Arabidopsis thaliana: one gene and its partners. The protein of the gene in region 2 interacts with the protein of the main gene of each other region in a pairwise test. Each region holds a gene or a part of one and is shown on either strand. Other genes may lie near its edges.

Region 1 (5,301 bases), on a different chromosome or scaffold from region 2:
TAGCAAATTTTATGTCACAACTAAACTACAGTGTAAACTTTATGATATTTTTTTTTTTCTGAATTTATTCAACTATATGCTATATAATTTGGGTAATTTATTTTGAACATGCCTAATTTATATGGACCTAAAGATGCATATTTTGGGCCTTAAATTAGTTGGATACATATATGGGTTTAAATTCTAACCTTTAATAAGCCTATAAGCCCAAAAAATAACAGTTTGTAAGTTATCTGACAAAGGATTTTAATAATAAAGCTGCATATAAAATTGAAAAGAAATGCATGTTGTATAATATTAATTGATACTTTGGCAGTGTCGCTTATTACAAAGGCAGTTGCATGTGATGTGCTTGCAAACTCGCATTTTATCTTCCCTTACCTTTTTGTTTTTAGAAAATAGTATATTTTTTCATCATGATTACTTGGAAACTTGGAAGCTGTGACAAAATATTGGTTTTGAGTGCTTCTGATAAAACCTTGTATTTTGAACTTGAAAACTTTTGTTTTCAGCCATTTTTTTAACTTACTACGATGACGGTCACTTGTTTTGGGATGAAACTTTTTACTACTTGGTGTTGGTGATGCATGGTTTCTATAATTCCTCTTATACAACAAAACTTTTTTGGTTTTTGTCAAAAATTGTATATAACCAACCTTCTTTTTATTAGGATCGCACGTCAGGCCACTTAAAAAGAAGTAAAGAACAATGAGAGATCGATGTAAAAAGAATAAAGGAACAAAAGAGAAAGTAATGGACAGTTCATCACAATTCACACACCAAAAAGAAAACAGCTGAACATTTGTTAGAATCTCAACACTTTCCAAACACACGAAAACAAAATGACACTCATTTCTCACCGACAATAGTGATGAAAATATATCATGGCCGAACTAATTGGTAGTATTATTAGTTTGAGATTGGTATTTTTTGTAACAGTTTGATATTGAATTGTTGATTGATGACCACGAGAAAAAAGAAGTACGATTTATATCATTTGTTGGTTTACTGTATATAGATGATCATTTGGTGTCCTTCTGGTTTCGAGAAAAACAACAAGTGGTTAAAAGTGTAGTTCGAGAAAAAGATTTGGTTAGGACATGTAATTCTTTATTTGAGCTTTTAATCCAACGAACGGGGTTAGATTTTCCTTGCGACGGTGGCTTTGGATGATCCTTAACGGCACGATCTGATCATTACATATTTACATTGACGAAAGAGCACGTGTAAAAAAACTCGTTCACTGGTCTGGTTGACTTTTATTACATACTGTCTGGTCGCTATATATCTATCAAATCTCTATGCATTAACAATTAATGCAACGTTGCTCATTAATTAAGTATGTATTTTTTGTTATTTTACAAGTAGTATTGATATTACAGGAGTTAAAATGTTATAAAAGAAACTACAAACATTTATTCGTAAGTTTATTCATTTATATTTTTTAAAAAATTGGTAAAGATGAAAGAATTTACCTTGGGGAAGAGATCAACGGATTTCGAGAGAAGTACTACTACACAACATTTATTCGTCAAACATGTATGTATTTGTATGTTTATGCATGTATTATGTATCAAATAAATGCATGTTATATGAGTAATAAAGAAAGGTCTTCTGACCATAACAGAGAAATTAATTAAGAACCAGTTGAAGTAAATAAATAACTCTAAATTGTGGAAATTTTAGATCAAAAGTAGATAAATAGTCAGATATTTCATGTGGATTTTACGTATTTTAAGGATCTAATTCATTTTATGCTTTTAAAAAATTTCATTCACTTTCTTCGAAGCAGTAAAACAGTCTGTCAATGTGAAACTTATGAACAATCAACATAAGAAACAAAAATTAAACAAAATTTGTATTTATTGTCTTCTTCTCAGCAGAACTTCTCTCCACTTAATTTTGTTTCTTGCTCTGTCCCAAAAACATTGTTTCATTTTTTTATCTCCCAATTTCCCTAGAAAATCTGCTTCCGATCTAAAAAAATCTCTAGAATTTATGTACAAAACACCATTTTTTTAGACTACTAAACAAATACTAACACTAATCTCGGCTACAATAACAGAAAGACCTTCTGTTCCTTAAGCCACAATAACATCTTTCTTTCTAATTTCTCTGTAATTCTTCCTGAGAGAATGCATAGTTCCTCTAAAAGCCAGGCCTTTTCTCTCACTTTTCTTCTCTTTCTTTTTCTTCTGCCATCAGTCTCAGAATCACAGCTAATATCAAGTGAATCAAGAACTCTATTAGAAATCCAAAAGCATTTACAATATCCACCAACTCTTCGATCATGGAGCAACTGGACCAATTTCTGCTACCTCCCTTCTTCTCCTTCTTTCAAAATCCTCTGTTTCAATGGTCATGTAACTGAATTAACCGTCACGGGGAACAGAACCGTTAAGCTCCCCGGAAGATTCTCAAGCGACTCACTATTCACTGTTCTTACAAAACTCTCAAACTTAAAGACATTGTCTCTGGTCTCTCTTGGCATCTCTGGTCCTCTCCCTTCACAGATCATCAGGTTATCTTCATCTCTTCAATCTCTGAATCTCAGTTCTAATTTCATCTCTGGGAATATTCCTAAAGAGATCTCGTCGTTGAAGAATCTGAGAAGTCTTGTTCTAGCGAACAATTTGTTTAACGGAAGTGTTCCTGATCTCAGAGGATTGTCGAATCTTCAAGAGCTGAATTTAGGCGGTAATAAACTCGGTCCTGAAGTTGTTCCTTCACTTGCAAGTAACTTGATTACTATTTCATTGAAGAACAACTCTTTTGGATCAAAGATTCCAGAACAGATCAAGAAGCTGAATAAGCTTCAGAGCTTAGATCTTTCCTCCAACAAGTTCACTGGCTCAATCCCAAGATTCCTGCTTTCGCTTCCTTCGCTTCAGAATCTAAGTTTAGCACAAAACTTGCTGAGTGGATCACTTCCAAATTCATCGTTGTGCAACTCCAAGCTTAGAATTTTAGATGTTTCTCGGAATCTTCTGACTGGGAAGCTTCCATCTTGCTTCTCTTCCAAGAAACAGACAGTACTGCTCTTCACATTCAATTGCTTGTCTATAAATGGTTCTCCTTCTGCAAAGTATCAGCGTCCAGTTACCTTCTGTGAAAACGAAGCAAAGCAAGCAGTAGCTGCTGTGAAGTCTGACACTAAAGATAAAGAAAGGAAAGAAGAAGATACAGGAATCGAACTTGGATTGGTGATTGGCATTATCATCGGTGTGATCCTCGTTTCAGCGGTTTTAGCTGGCTTGGTTTTGGTTAGGATGAGAAAATCAAGATCAAAAGAAGAGCCTTTGGAAGCAAACAACGTCGATCAGGTCACTGTTTGCAGCAACACCACCAGGTCCACCACATCAAAGACAGTACCAGATCTAAGTAGGCTATTACTTTGAAATCTTGAATCAAGTTTTCACACCCATTAACCTAACTAGCTTGATTTTTTCAAATGCAGGACGTGTACCGCAAACCATGAGATCCGCGGTGATTGGACTATCACCATACCGAGTTTTCTCTTTGGAGGAACTGGAAGAAGCAACCAACAATTTTGATGCAGAGAATCTCTGTGGAGAACAGGTAAAGGAAAATGTAAATAAGACATGATTTAAAATTGATCCGAGTGTCTAACTAATCGATATATCTAATTTCAAAACAGCTGTACAAAGGTTGTCTTAGAGAAGGCATAGCAGTGACAGTGAGGTGTATTAAGCTGAAACAGAAGAATTCAACACAGAATTTAGCTCAACAAATGGAAGTTTTATCAAAGCTAAGGCATATGCATTTGGTCAGTGTTCTTGGACACTGCATTGGTACTTATCAAGATCATCATCCTTATGCCGGAAGCACTATTTTCATTGTCCAAGAATATATCTCTAACGGGTCTTTGAGGGATTACCTCACCGGTAATACTTGAAAAAGATTATCGATTTCAAGAACTTATATTTTTGTTGGGAAACTAATTATTTGGAAATGTTTTTGGCAGATTGGAGAAAGAAAGAGGTGTTGAAATGGCCTCAGAGAATGTCGATAGCGATTGGAGTTGCTCGAGGAATACAGTTCTTGCACACAGGAGTGGCACCAGGAATATTTGGGAACAATTTGGAAATAGAGAATGTTTTACTTGATGAAACACTCACTGTAAAACTCAGTGGTTATAGTATTCCTTTACCATCCAAGGTATATAAACAAACCAGATATAATATAATCAGGATATAGCTTCTAATCTTCAGTTTAACCTCTCATGAAATATATAACCTTCTGGGGGAATTTCAGGTTGGAGCGGAGAGCCCTAGTAATGAAGATGGAGAGAAAGAAGATGTGTACCAGTTTGGAGTGATACTAATTCAGATCATCACAGGCAAAGTAATAGCAGCTGCATCTTCAGAGTTGGGGAGCTTGAAGCTTCAGCTGGAGAACAGTTTGAGAGACGAACCATCGGTGTTGCGTAGCTTGGCAGATCCGTGTGTGAGAGGAACATATGCATACGAGTCATTGAGAACCACAGTAGAGTTTGCCATTAACTGTCTTTGTGAAGATCAGAGGAAGCGGCCATCGATAGAGGATGTTGTATGGAATCTGCAGTACACAATTCAAGTGCAACAAGGATGGACAAGCAGTGAGAACCTCGGGCTTGGTGGTTCAGAACTATAGAAGAGAAATATAAAATCACCATCCTTGAAGAACATAGAGAAACTGATCAATGTCAAATTCAAGGCCTATATGAGAATACATAAAGTTGAACCTACTAATACTTAAGGTACTTACGAGTCTCATGTGAAGCTTCAGATTTTGGTGTAGAAATTGGATTAGCGTCACAAAGAAAGCAATGCAATTGTTAAGGCAATGAAAGGGTGTAACAGAAGGATAAGGCCACAAACCCTTAAATAAAATATCGCAACTTTGTGGAATTTGGGTACAAAGTTGTTTTTTGTAGCTAGCAAGTAAATCGTAATACATATATACACAAAAGTGAATAATTCAGATGGTTTGGTACAAAGTTGTTTTTTTAAGGATGTTGGGTTACATCAAAGCATGGAATCACTTAAATAGTTTTGGAAACACAAGACATGAATGAAAAGAGAAGAAAGCTGTTGCTGAATCGTGATTGAGAGAAAGTAGAGAGAGCTACAACGCTTACAACAAACTACTACTAGTCAGCAGTCCAGCTTTGCTCAACAACATCACGCACTCTCCTGTTGTACTCGCGCTTGCTTTCGCTGTACATCCGAGCAGCTTCCGAGTTTGCAGGAGAATTCGGATTAGGGTCACAGAGCAAGGACTGCAATAACAAAGGGAAAA
Region 2 (3,819 bases):
CCTAGTTTTATCAACCTTGAAATCCCACCAACCATTGGAGTAGCAAATCCACCGGCCGACCATGGAGACGCAGGATTCATCGTCCCCTGAAAAAACGAAAACAGAGTCATCGTCTCCATCGTTATTTGTTGGCCGTACACTCAATTTCATAAACTGTAAAGCTTCTTATGATAACTCATACCTTCCATCTCGACAGATTTTGACAATGTGTGTATGATTTTCGAAGTGACGAGGGTTTATCTTCTTTTGACAATGACGACTTCAGAGAAGATGTCGACGACGAGAGAAGTTTATGTTCAACGAGGGTTTAGGAGATAAGTTTATGTTTGGTTTCAATGTCTTGAGGACAAATGGGTTTGAGTTTTGTGATATTAGCCCATGACAAATCTTGAATTTTGAATGATATTGGGCTGGTTTGAATTTGGCCCATTAGTTTTCATCAAAACACAAGAGGGGTAAAACGGTCTTTGACTATTTGCTGTATTAGAGGAGGGCTGTATTAGAGAGGACAGAAGAAACTACCCTATCAGCCTATTTTTAAAAAAACTGTCTAGTTCTCAAATTATTTCCCTAAAAACTGCCTAGTTCTCAACTTATCTCAAATGACTATTCCTCTCACTTTTTGAGTTAGTGCTCATGGAAGTAGCATTTAGCTTCTGTTGAATTCACCTTTTAATGCGTTGCATTAGTGTAAAATTCTCTAACAATTAAGAAGCCTGAGTAAGTTTGCAATAAATTTTATTTTCTTTATCAAAAGTTTACCTTTTAGCTCCTGTTGAATTTCCATTTTTTTAAAGATTCATTAAGACAATAACTATTATTTTTATATATTTTTATTATTCTTAATTAAGAAAATACAAAAAATTATAAAATATGTTAATAACAAAATAATAAACAATACAACATAGGAAACTATACCAATTAAAGAAATTAAATGCATATAGATTAGATGAATAAAAATAGAAATGTAGAAAATTAAAAATTATATATATGATTCTATAAATCTAAATTTTAAATTAGGCATATTAATTTGGTAAAATTGCAGAAATATAAAGTTCATTGGATATAAAGTGAAACTATTGAAGATTTTATTGATAGTAGTTTATATAATTCAATTCAATTCTCAAACAAAAATTATATTTAACATTGAGCACATTTACCAAATAATTATCGACTCAAATTCACCCACGTAGATGTTTGTTGCGCAAGAAAGAGAAAAAGTTTAGAACAAGATAAATAGACCAAAGAGACAAGAAATATATGAAAGGAATTCGAGGCACAATCTTACAAATACAAGCAAAACCATTCTAGATAATTTTTTACCAACTGACATAAACACATTATTATGTGTTCAATGACAACGAAAATGATAATTAAACATTGAAATTTGTTTTCATAGTGGAGCTATTGTAAAAAGTGTAGATATTCACAAAATTTAAAAAACTTCACAATTATTATTATTTTAATAATCTTCAACTTCCAAGCACACGATCACTAAAAGGAAAATGGGCGCGTAAATCTCATCCCACTCTGTTTCAAAATAACCGCCAACAACAACAACACCTCCAATAACACAGAAACTACCTCTCTGCTTCTCTCTCTAATCTCACCCATACACGAAACCAAATAACGAAACCTATTTGCTCTCTATCTCTCCAATGGCGTCTTCTCTGTTCTTCATCTTCTTCCTCACGTCACTACTATCATCCTATCTTCCTCTCTCAGTATTCTCCGCAACCGTCGTCGAAGACCTCGCTAATCTAAGTCCACCTCCTGATTTCAACACCACTATTTCCAACAACTGTCTTCGTGATCCAATGCTCCGTTACTGCAACAACACTTCCTCTTCTCCAATGGACATTGTCGAGATTTTCAGATCCACAATCGTCGCTAGTCATCTCTGTAACGAGTCCAAAAACCCTAACTGCGTTGAATCTTTCCCTAGAATCAGAATTCACGGTCGTCCTAAAACCGCTGCTCTTTACCTCTCTTTCGATTTCTTCTGGAAGTACTGTCCTTTAACCGTCGTTGATATCGAGTTAGTGAATAACTCTCTAACGAATGGTTTTCCGACAAATGTTCTGTCTTGTGCTCAGATTCGTACTCTTGATCTGAGTTACAACCAATTCTCTGGTTTTGTTCCGGTTCAAGATCTCTCAGGCTTACCCAATCTGACCCATTTGAACCTATCGTATAACCGATTCTCCGAGAATAAGATCTCGGATTCTGAGTTCTTCAAACGGTTTAACGCCTCTAGTTTCATACAGTCCGGTGTTCTTCCCAACGTGAAGCGTTACAAGATGAAAGTTTTGGTCTTGTTGATTGTTTTTCCAATAATGGTGATTTTGCTCTGTTTTTGCTTTGGCTGGTTATGTGTCAAGAGACCTGATTACTTACCAAGAACATGCCGGAGAAGAAACAAGTTCACATTCGCGATGCTTGAAGCAGCAACGGATGAGTTTTCAGATCAACATCTTGTGAGCATGAGCAATACAGTGGATATCTACAAAGGAACGTTAAGAGACGGGACAGAGACGAAGATCGAGGTTTATAAAGAGAAGGTTTCGAGTGAGAAAAGGCGTGAATTCGCAGAGGTATGCGAGATGGTTTTTAAGTTACGACACAAGAACTTGGTAAGAGTGTTGGGTTGGTGTAATAGTAGAAACATGAGAGCTTTGGTTACAGAATGGATTCAAGGTGAAAATGTTGAGACTTGGTTAAGTTCGTCAATGGCTTTATCATGGAGAAGAAGGTTAAGAGTAGTTCTAGGAGTTGTAGAAGGTATTTGTTATCTATCAGATCAATGGCCAGAGATTACATTTGATCTCACCACAAGCAGTGTTTTGTTATCCGATGATAATCAAGAACCTTTGATTTCTCATTTCAAGATTGGAGATAGAAACAACTTGTCAACAAGTAAGGCTTCATCTTCTTCTTGCAAAAATCAAAACCTTTTTAAGGCTATAAAAGCTAAGTCTGTTGTTGTTGTTGTTGTTGTGTTATTACAGATATATTCAACTTTGGATTGTTTTTTGTGGAGATGATTACAAATCTAAGACCTGATTTGGGACAAGAAGATTCAGAAAGAAGGTATCTTGAGTATATAAGAGTTCATTATCCGGATAATCTAGAGAGAGTGATTGATGAGAAGATGAAGATTGAGGGGAGAACATTTGATCAAGTTAAGCAAGCCATTACGCTAGGACTGATGTGTACTGATATAATACCACCATTAAAGCAACCAAGCTTGACGCAGATTTATGACTTGGTGAGTTCATTGTATGAGTCTAGTTCACGACATCATTGAAATACCTTGTAAAGCTTTATTGGTTTCTTTTGATTTTCAGACATCTGGTGTTAGATAGTATTGTAAGGATTAAAGACATATTTGTGTGTTTTTTCTTTGATTACTATAAGTACTGAGAGAATTTGCAGAAAATGAGTACTTAATTTGCAGACATGAAATCTGTAAATGGGCTTCATTTCTGCAAATGGGCTTTATTAGCTGAAATGGGTTTCATAGTTTTATGGGTTCTCAAATGACCCGACCCGGGTTGGAAGATATAGAAACTATACACTGGTTGGCAAATGGGAACGTTCGATTAAAAATTCGGTAACTACTACGACGTGACTTGTCTCTTCTCCGTTGAAAAGCCATCGACAGTTATGTATGAGTGTATCATTTATCAACTTGAAAGCAATTTCAGTTTTTAAAATAATCCAAATACTAATAAACCAGAAATTAACCCATCATCAAAGCATTAATAATCTTCATTACCATTTGAAACCGAAACTTGTATCACAATTAAATAACGATCA
Region 3 (5,165 bases), on a different chromosome or scaffold from region 2:
CTAATAAATTTATTGAACCCCATGTGCATATGTACCCAGTCTGGTACGAGTTGGAACATGAGATAAAGTTGTGGCAACTGCCCATGACTCGGTGTAAATGGTATATCACATGAAAAATTATAAGTCCAGATCACAATATGTTTTCTTCAAATAATTCGAAAAATTATCTAATCGATTTCCCTTTAAGCTTGAACTAAATAGTTTATCAGCACTAGTAATTCTTTCATACAAAATCTCTAAGCAAATATATATCTTTCTGGGTCAATGTTGTTTTTTCATATCTAAAATGTTTTTTCTTTCTCCTGTGAAGTAGGGTTATTAGTTAGTGGTTACCAACTTCACATTATAAAACTTCATATCTAATCAAATCGTGAAGTATTTGTCAGTCAATCGTGAGACGATATTCATGACCACTTTTGTCGTTGACTTTGTTTTTGGCTCAAAATTTTGGACGGCGATAAAAAATAAAACTCGTTGACATTGTTTTTTGGCTGAATCGTTGACTAGGATTCTGGGATAAGATGTGTAAAGAAGAAAACAAAAACCAATTTATTCACACGCAATCAACTATATATTTATACAAAAATTAGCAAAAGCAATAGTTTTATAGACATTTTTAAAACTTTGGAAATAAAGAAAAGTAGAAAGAAAGAAAAAAAGAAACTGATAGGTCTCATCTCAATTTGAGGCTCAAGAATTAACGAACAAACTAGAACAAGAACAAAGAAGAAGAAGTAGAAAAAAGGCGGGAAGTGGGGTCGACACTATTCAAGAAATTGCAACTTGACCCCAAACAATATTCAAATCAATCAATTTAGACCCCCAAAAAATCAGTCGGATACAGGATTTGGGGAGCCAGATGAATGAGAAACCTCCTCAATGAGTCTGGTGACTTCAGCCATCGAAGGACGACTATCTGGGAACTGAGCCGTACAGCTCATACCGATCTTCAATAAACGAATGATGTTCTCATTGCCCTCAGGTTGGTACCTTGTGAGCTCGGGATCAAGCACATCGGACGGTGTTTGTTGCTCGGTAACAGATTGGACCCATCTCGGCAAATCTACGCCTTCTTCATTCAACTGCTGATGCGTTGGAGACTTACCTGCAATGTAATGTTCCATGTTAAAACCTAGAAACCACAGCAATTGCAAAAAAAGCAGTTAAAAAGATATATCTATCCTTGATTGTTTGTTACCTGTGAGTAATTCAAGGATTAGGACGCCAAAGCTATAGACATCAGCTTTTTGGGATATTTTGCGAGCATCAGTGATTTCAGGGGCACGGTAGCCATCAATACGGTTAGGTGCAGATGTAGAACTAATGATGGGAGCAAGACCGTAATCAGAGACCTTAGCTTCATAGGAGTCAGATAATAGTATGTTCGAGGACTTAATGTTTCCATGAGAAGTTGTCCCATCACGCGAATGTAGGTAGCTAATCGCTCTTGCAGCTCCTAAGGCTATACCGGCTCTGGTTTCCCAGTTCAACGGAGTTCTCCCGTTTCCTTTGTTCCCTACAAATCCATTAAAAGAGCTTCAAAACCGAGCTTGAAGACACATAAGATAAACTAACTATGAAACAATTCAGTAATCAGTGTCAATTTTAGCCAAACCAGGTCCATCAAGATCACAAACTAGCATCAGCTAAACTAAGAACCCTAAAAATAAACAAATGCACAAATGGAGATTACTATTCTATACCGTGCAATATCGCAGACAAGCTTCCTTTAGACATGTACTCAAAGACAAGAAGCTTCTCGTCACGGCTGAAATAGTAAGCGATCAGAGTCACGAGATTGGCATGACTCATTGATCCCAAAACATGCAATCTCTCTCTGAACTCTTTCTCAGGCACCACAACATCTCTTAACCGTTTCACAGCCACCACTAACCCATGCTCAAAGCTTGCCTTATACGACGACCCAACTGTTCCTTTCCCAAGAACCTCAGCTGAAGCCTTCAACAATCCATCCAAATCGAATTCCCCGAAAGATTTCACGAAAAAGGTCAAATCTTTATTCACCGCACCACTCTCCGACCCCGTAGCCTTAGCCGGCGGGACAACAACCACCGTTTCCTTTGGTATAGCAGCGGAGGAAGTCGCAGCAGCGACAGGAGCTTCAACATTCCTAGATGGAACGTTCTCTTCTTTCTTTCTCTTTCTACAGAGACAGAACAGAATCAAAAGAAGCAGTAACAGACCAACAACACATCCGATCACAATCCCGACAATAGCTCCGGCGGATAACTTGTCGCTATCTTTCTTCTCCGGCGGCGTATTGGGTCCTCCAGCGTCACCACCATTGGGGCTCTCTGCCTCACAAGTGTCTAAAGGCTTCCCACAGAGAGTGTTACCTTCAAAAGCAGTTCGAGGCCAAGACGACAACGAACTCGGAATAGACCCGTTTAACTGATTAGAAGAAACATTGAATTGCTGAAGAGGAAGCGTGATCTCAGGGATCGGACCAGAGAGTTGATTCCTCTCCAAATACAGAGTAACCAACCGGGTCGCAGAATTGACATTATCCGGGATCCGACCCGAGAATTTATTCTCCCCTAGATTGATTCTGATTATGCTCGGAAGCGTGAAGAGAAGCGACGGAATCTCACCGGAAAAGGCATTACCTTGAAGATACAAGTAACGGAGGAGAACAAGGTTGGAGAAATCCGAAGGGATAGGACCAGAGAGAGAATTGAACCGGAGAGAAAGAGTCTTAAGCTGGGTTAGATTACCAATACCACCGATTGGTAAAGAACCGAATAAACCAGATCCGGGTAATCGGAGAGCCGTGACCCGACCCGCATCGCAGTGGACTCCGTGCCAATTACAAGGAGAAGAAGCACTCATGTTCCATAGCAAAGGACGGCCACGGACACTGTTACGAACAGCGAGTAAAGCTCTCCGGTCAGACTCTAGATCTGAAGTCACCGCAGCGAGATAGAAGACAAAGAGGAAGACAACAGAGAGACTTAGCTTACGCTTATACTTCATCTTCTTCTTCTTCTTCAAAAACCGTGTAAATTCTTCGTCTCCTTGGTTCCAAAAATTCAATAAATATATCGACTTTTTCGGATATGGGTTTTTGGAAAATTTATTTCGGCTACGCGTAAACGAGTGTTTGAACAAAGAGACTTTTGTGTTTTTTGGTTTACAAGAGTTTCAGCTCTGTCTTTCTTCTCTCTCTAGAGCCGGCTAAGAGAGAGAAAATGGTCATAATTGCAGAGAAAAAGGAAAAAAAGAAAAGTTACTAATTGGAATATTTCCTTTTTGACAAAAAAGTTAAAAGAGAATCTTATGTATTTAATTTGACAGCTAATTTACAGAAAGATAATTAATTAATTATAAGGTTATGACTTATGAATACTAGTTGTAACAATTTTATCAGAGTCAACTATATTTGCGTTACATAAATGACAATAAATCACTGCAGTAATGTTTTTTGTAGACGTTTAAACGACCTCTGTTTTTCCTTTCTTTTGTATTAGATCAATAAATTAGGTCTAATTAAAAAATTAATGGTCGTTATCGTTTTGTTTCTTTTATGTTTTTTTTTTTTGCAGGTTGAGTGTGACCAAAGACATGCCAGGTCTGTCAAATGTGTCTGAGCTACCGTTGACAAACAAAGATTAGCCTCTCCGACACCGTTTTTATTTCTGATATAAGTTTGTACCATAGACATTTTTTTTTTTTTTTTATGTATTTGTTGTATCAATTTGAAAGGAAGGTAATAGAAATGGTCAACAGAGAACTTAAGAAGTGGTATTCATTTTGAAGATTTCAATTGTTCAATTTTTAAAACTCTTACATCAAATTTATTTTAATAGAAGTGGTTGGTTTCTCGTGACTATTAACAAACATTCTTCCCAACCCGAAACCTAACCTCACCTAACTTTCAAGTTCAAATACAAATAGATGATGACTAATATAAGCTGATTTTCTCCCAACACCTTCTATAATTCACTCTTAACCTCTTCTTCATGGCTATGACCATGTTCGTCCAAATAAGAAACGGCCATAGCTGCGTGAAGAGCAGCCCCAACAGGAAGAGCTTCTTCATCAACAAAGAAGTAAGGCGAGTGAAGCGGCTTACCAGCGCCTAGCGTCTCATTCTTTACCCCCAGCACGAAAATCGCAGCCTTAGTCTTTTGAGTGAAGAAGCTGAAATCCTCTCCTCCCATTGTCACCGGGAAATCATGGAAGTTATTCTTTCCAATCATCGCTTCCGCTACTTTTTTACCGTGCTCGTATAAGCCCTCGTCGTTATTCATTACCGGGTGAAGCGACGGCTTTTTCTCTTCGAAGTTTACTTCTGCTTTGCATCGGTATACCGATGCTTGTGCCTCTGAAATCTGCATCATCATCAAGAAACATTTAAACAGGGTTAGGGACCTACATTATTCGAATAGTAGAACAAGATTGTATAGAAAAATGGTGTAAAAAACAATCTCTTTACCTCTTTGATCCGTCTTTGGATAAATAGAAGCCCATCGTTGCTTAAGCTTCTGAAAGTACCTCCAAATTTCGCACTCTGCGGTATTACGTTTTGAGCATGACCTCCTTCAATATATCCAACTGTAACCACCTGAGAAACATAAAAAAACCAATCTCCGCTGATTTCAGCCAAGATTCTGATTCATCAAACACCAATGCTTTGAAAGTGGAAAGCAAACTTACACCAGCTTCGAGTGGATCCAGTTCCCGCGAAACAATCTGTTGCAAGGCAACAACAGCGGAAGAAGCTGCAAGAACCGGGTCTTTAGAGAAGTGCGGTGTAGCTGCGTGGCTACCTTGACCGTGAACCGTGACTGTAAACAATCCTGCACCTGCAAGAACGGTCCCAGGCCTAGAACCAATACCACCTGATGGGATCGATGGAAAGACATGAACACTGAGTATCCCATCTAAGTCGTCTAGAATCTCGTCTTTTAGCATTTCATAAGCACCTGCATAACCTTCCTCGCCTGGTTGAAACACAAGTTTTACTGTCCCCTGTTGCAAAAAAATTGTGTTTTCGTTCAAAACCCTCATAAGATTCACCAAACTCTCATAAGACACACACACTAACAACTCTAGAAAACACACACACATAACAATTAGCAATCAAAGACATACACACACATATATCTAAGAATCTTAGAAAACACTAACCCACATCGAAATGA

The links. Proteins that work in one complex are often made in the same cells at the same time.
Region 1: the proteins of AT4G20790 (region 2) and AT1G14390 interact in a protein complementation assay, tested with the Arabidopsis thaliana proteins (2 studies listed by BioGRID).
Region 3: the proteins of AT4G20790 (region 2) and AT3G02880 interact in a protein complementation assay, tested with the Arabidopsis thaliana proteins (2 studies listed by BioGRID).

What each region holds. Positions count from the first base shown.
Region 1 is NC_003070.9:4,922,142-4,927,442, forward strand, and holds AT1G14390 (Leucine-rich repeat protein kinase family protein), read left to right. Parts: upstream 1-1,895; 5' UTR 1,896-2,135; coding exon 2,136-3,381; intron 3,382-3,457; coding exon 3,458-3,579; intron 3,580-3,658; coding exon 3,659-3,905; intron 3,906-3,985; coding exon 3,986-4,179; intron 4,180-4,275; coding exon 4,276-4,653; 3' UTR 4,654-4,773; downstream 4,774-5,301. Other genes in the region: UBC1 (ubiquitin carrier protein 1), read right to left, coding at 5,153-5,281.
Region 2 is NC_003075.7:11,134,263-11,138,081, reverse strand, and holds AT4G20790 (Leucine-rich repeat protein kinase family protein), read left to right. Parts: upstream 1-1,658; coding exon 1,659-2,916; intron 2,917-3,008; coding exon 3,009-3,307; downstream 3,308-3,819.
Region 3 is NC_003074.8:632,648-637,812, reverse strand, and holds AT3G02880 (Leucine-rich repeat protein kinase family protein), read right to left. Parts: upstream 3,349-5,165; 5' UTR 2,995-3,348; coding exon 1,704-2,994; intron 1,517-1,703; coding exon 1,199-1,516; intron 1,106-1,198; coding exon 831-1,105; 3' UTR 529-830; downstream 1-528. Other genes in the region: ILR1 (Peptidase M20/M25/M40 family protein), read right to left, coding at 3,954-4,352, 4,457-4,585, 4,678-4,992.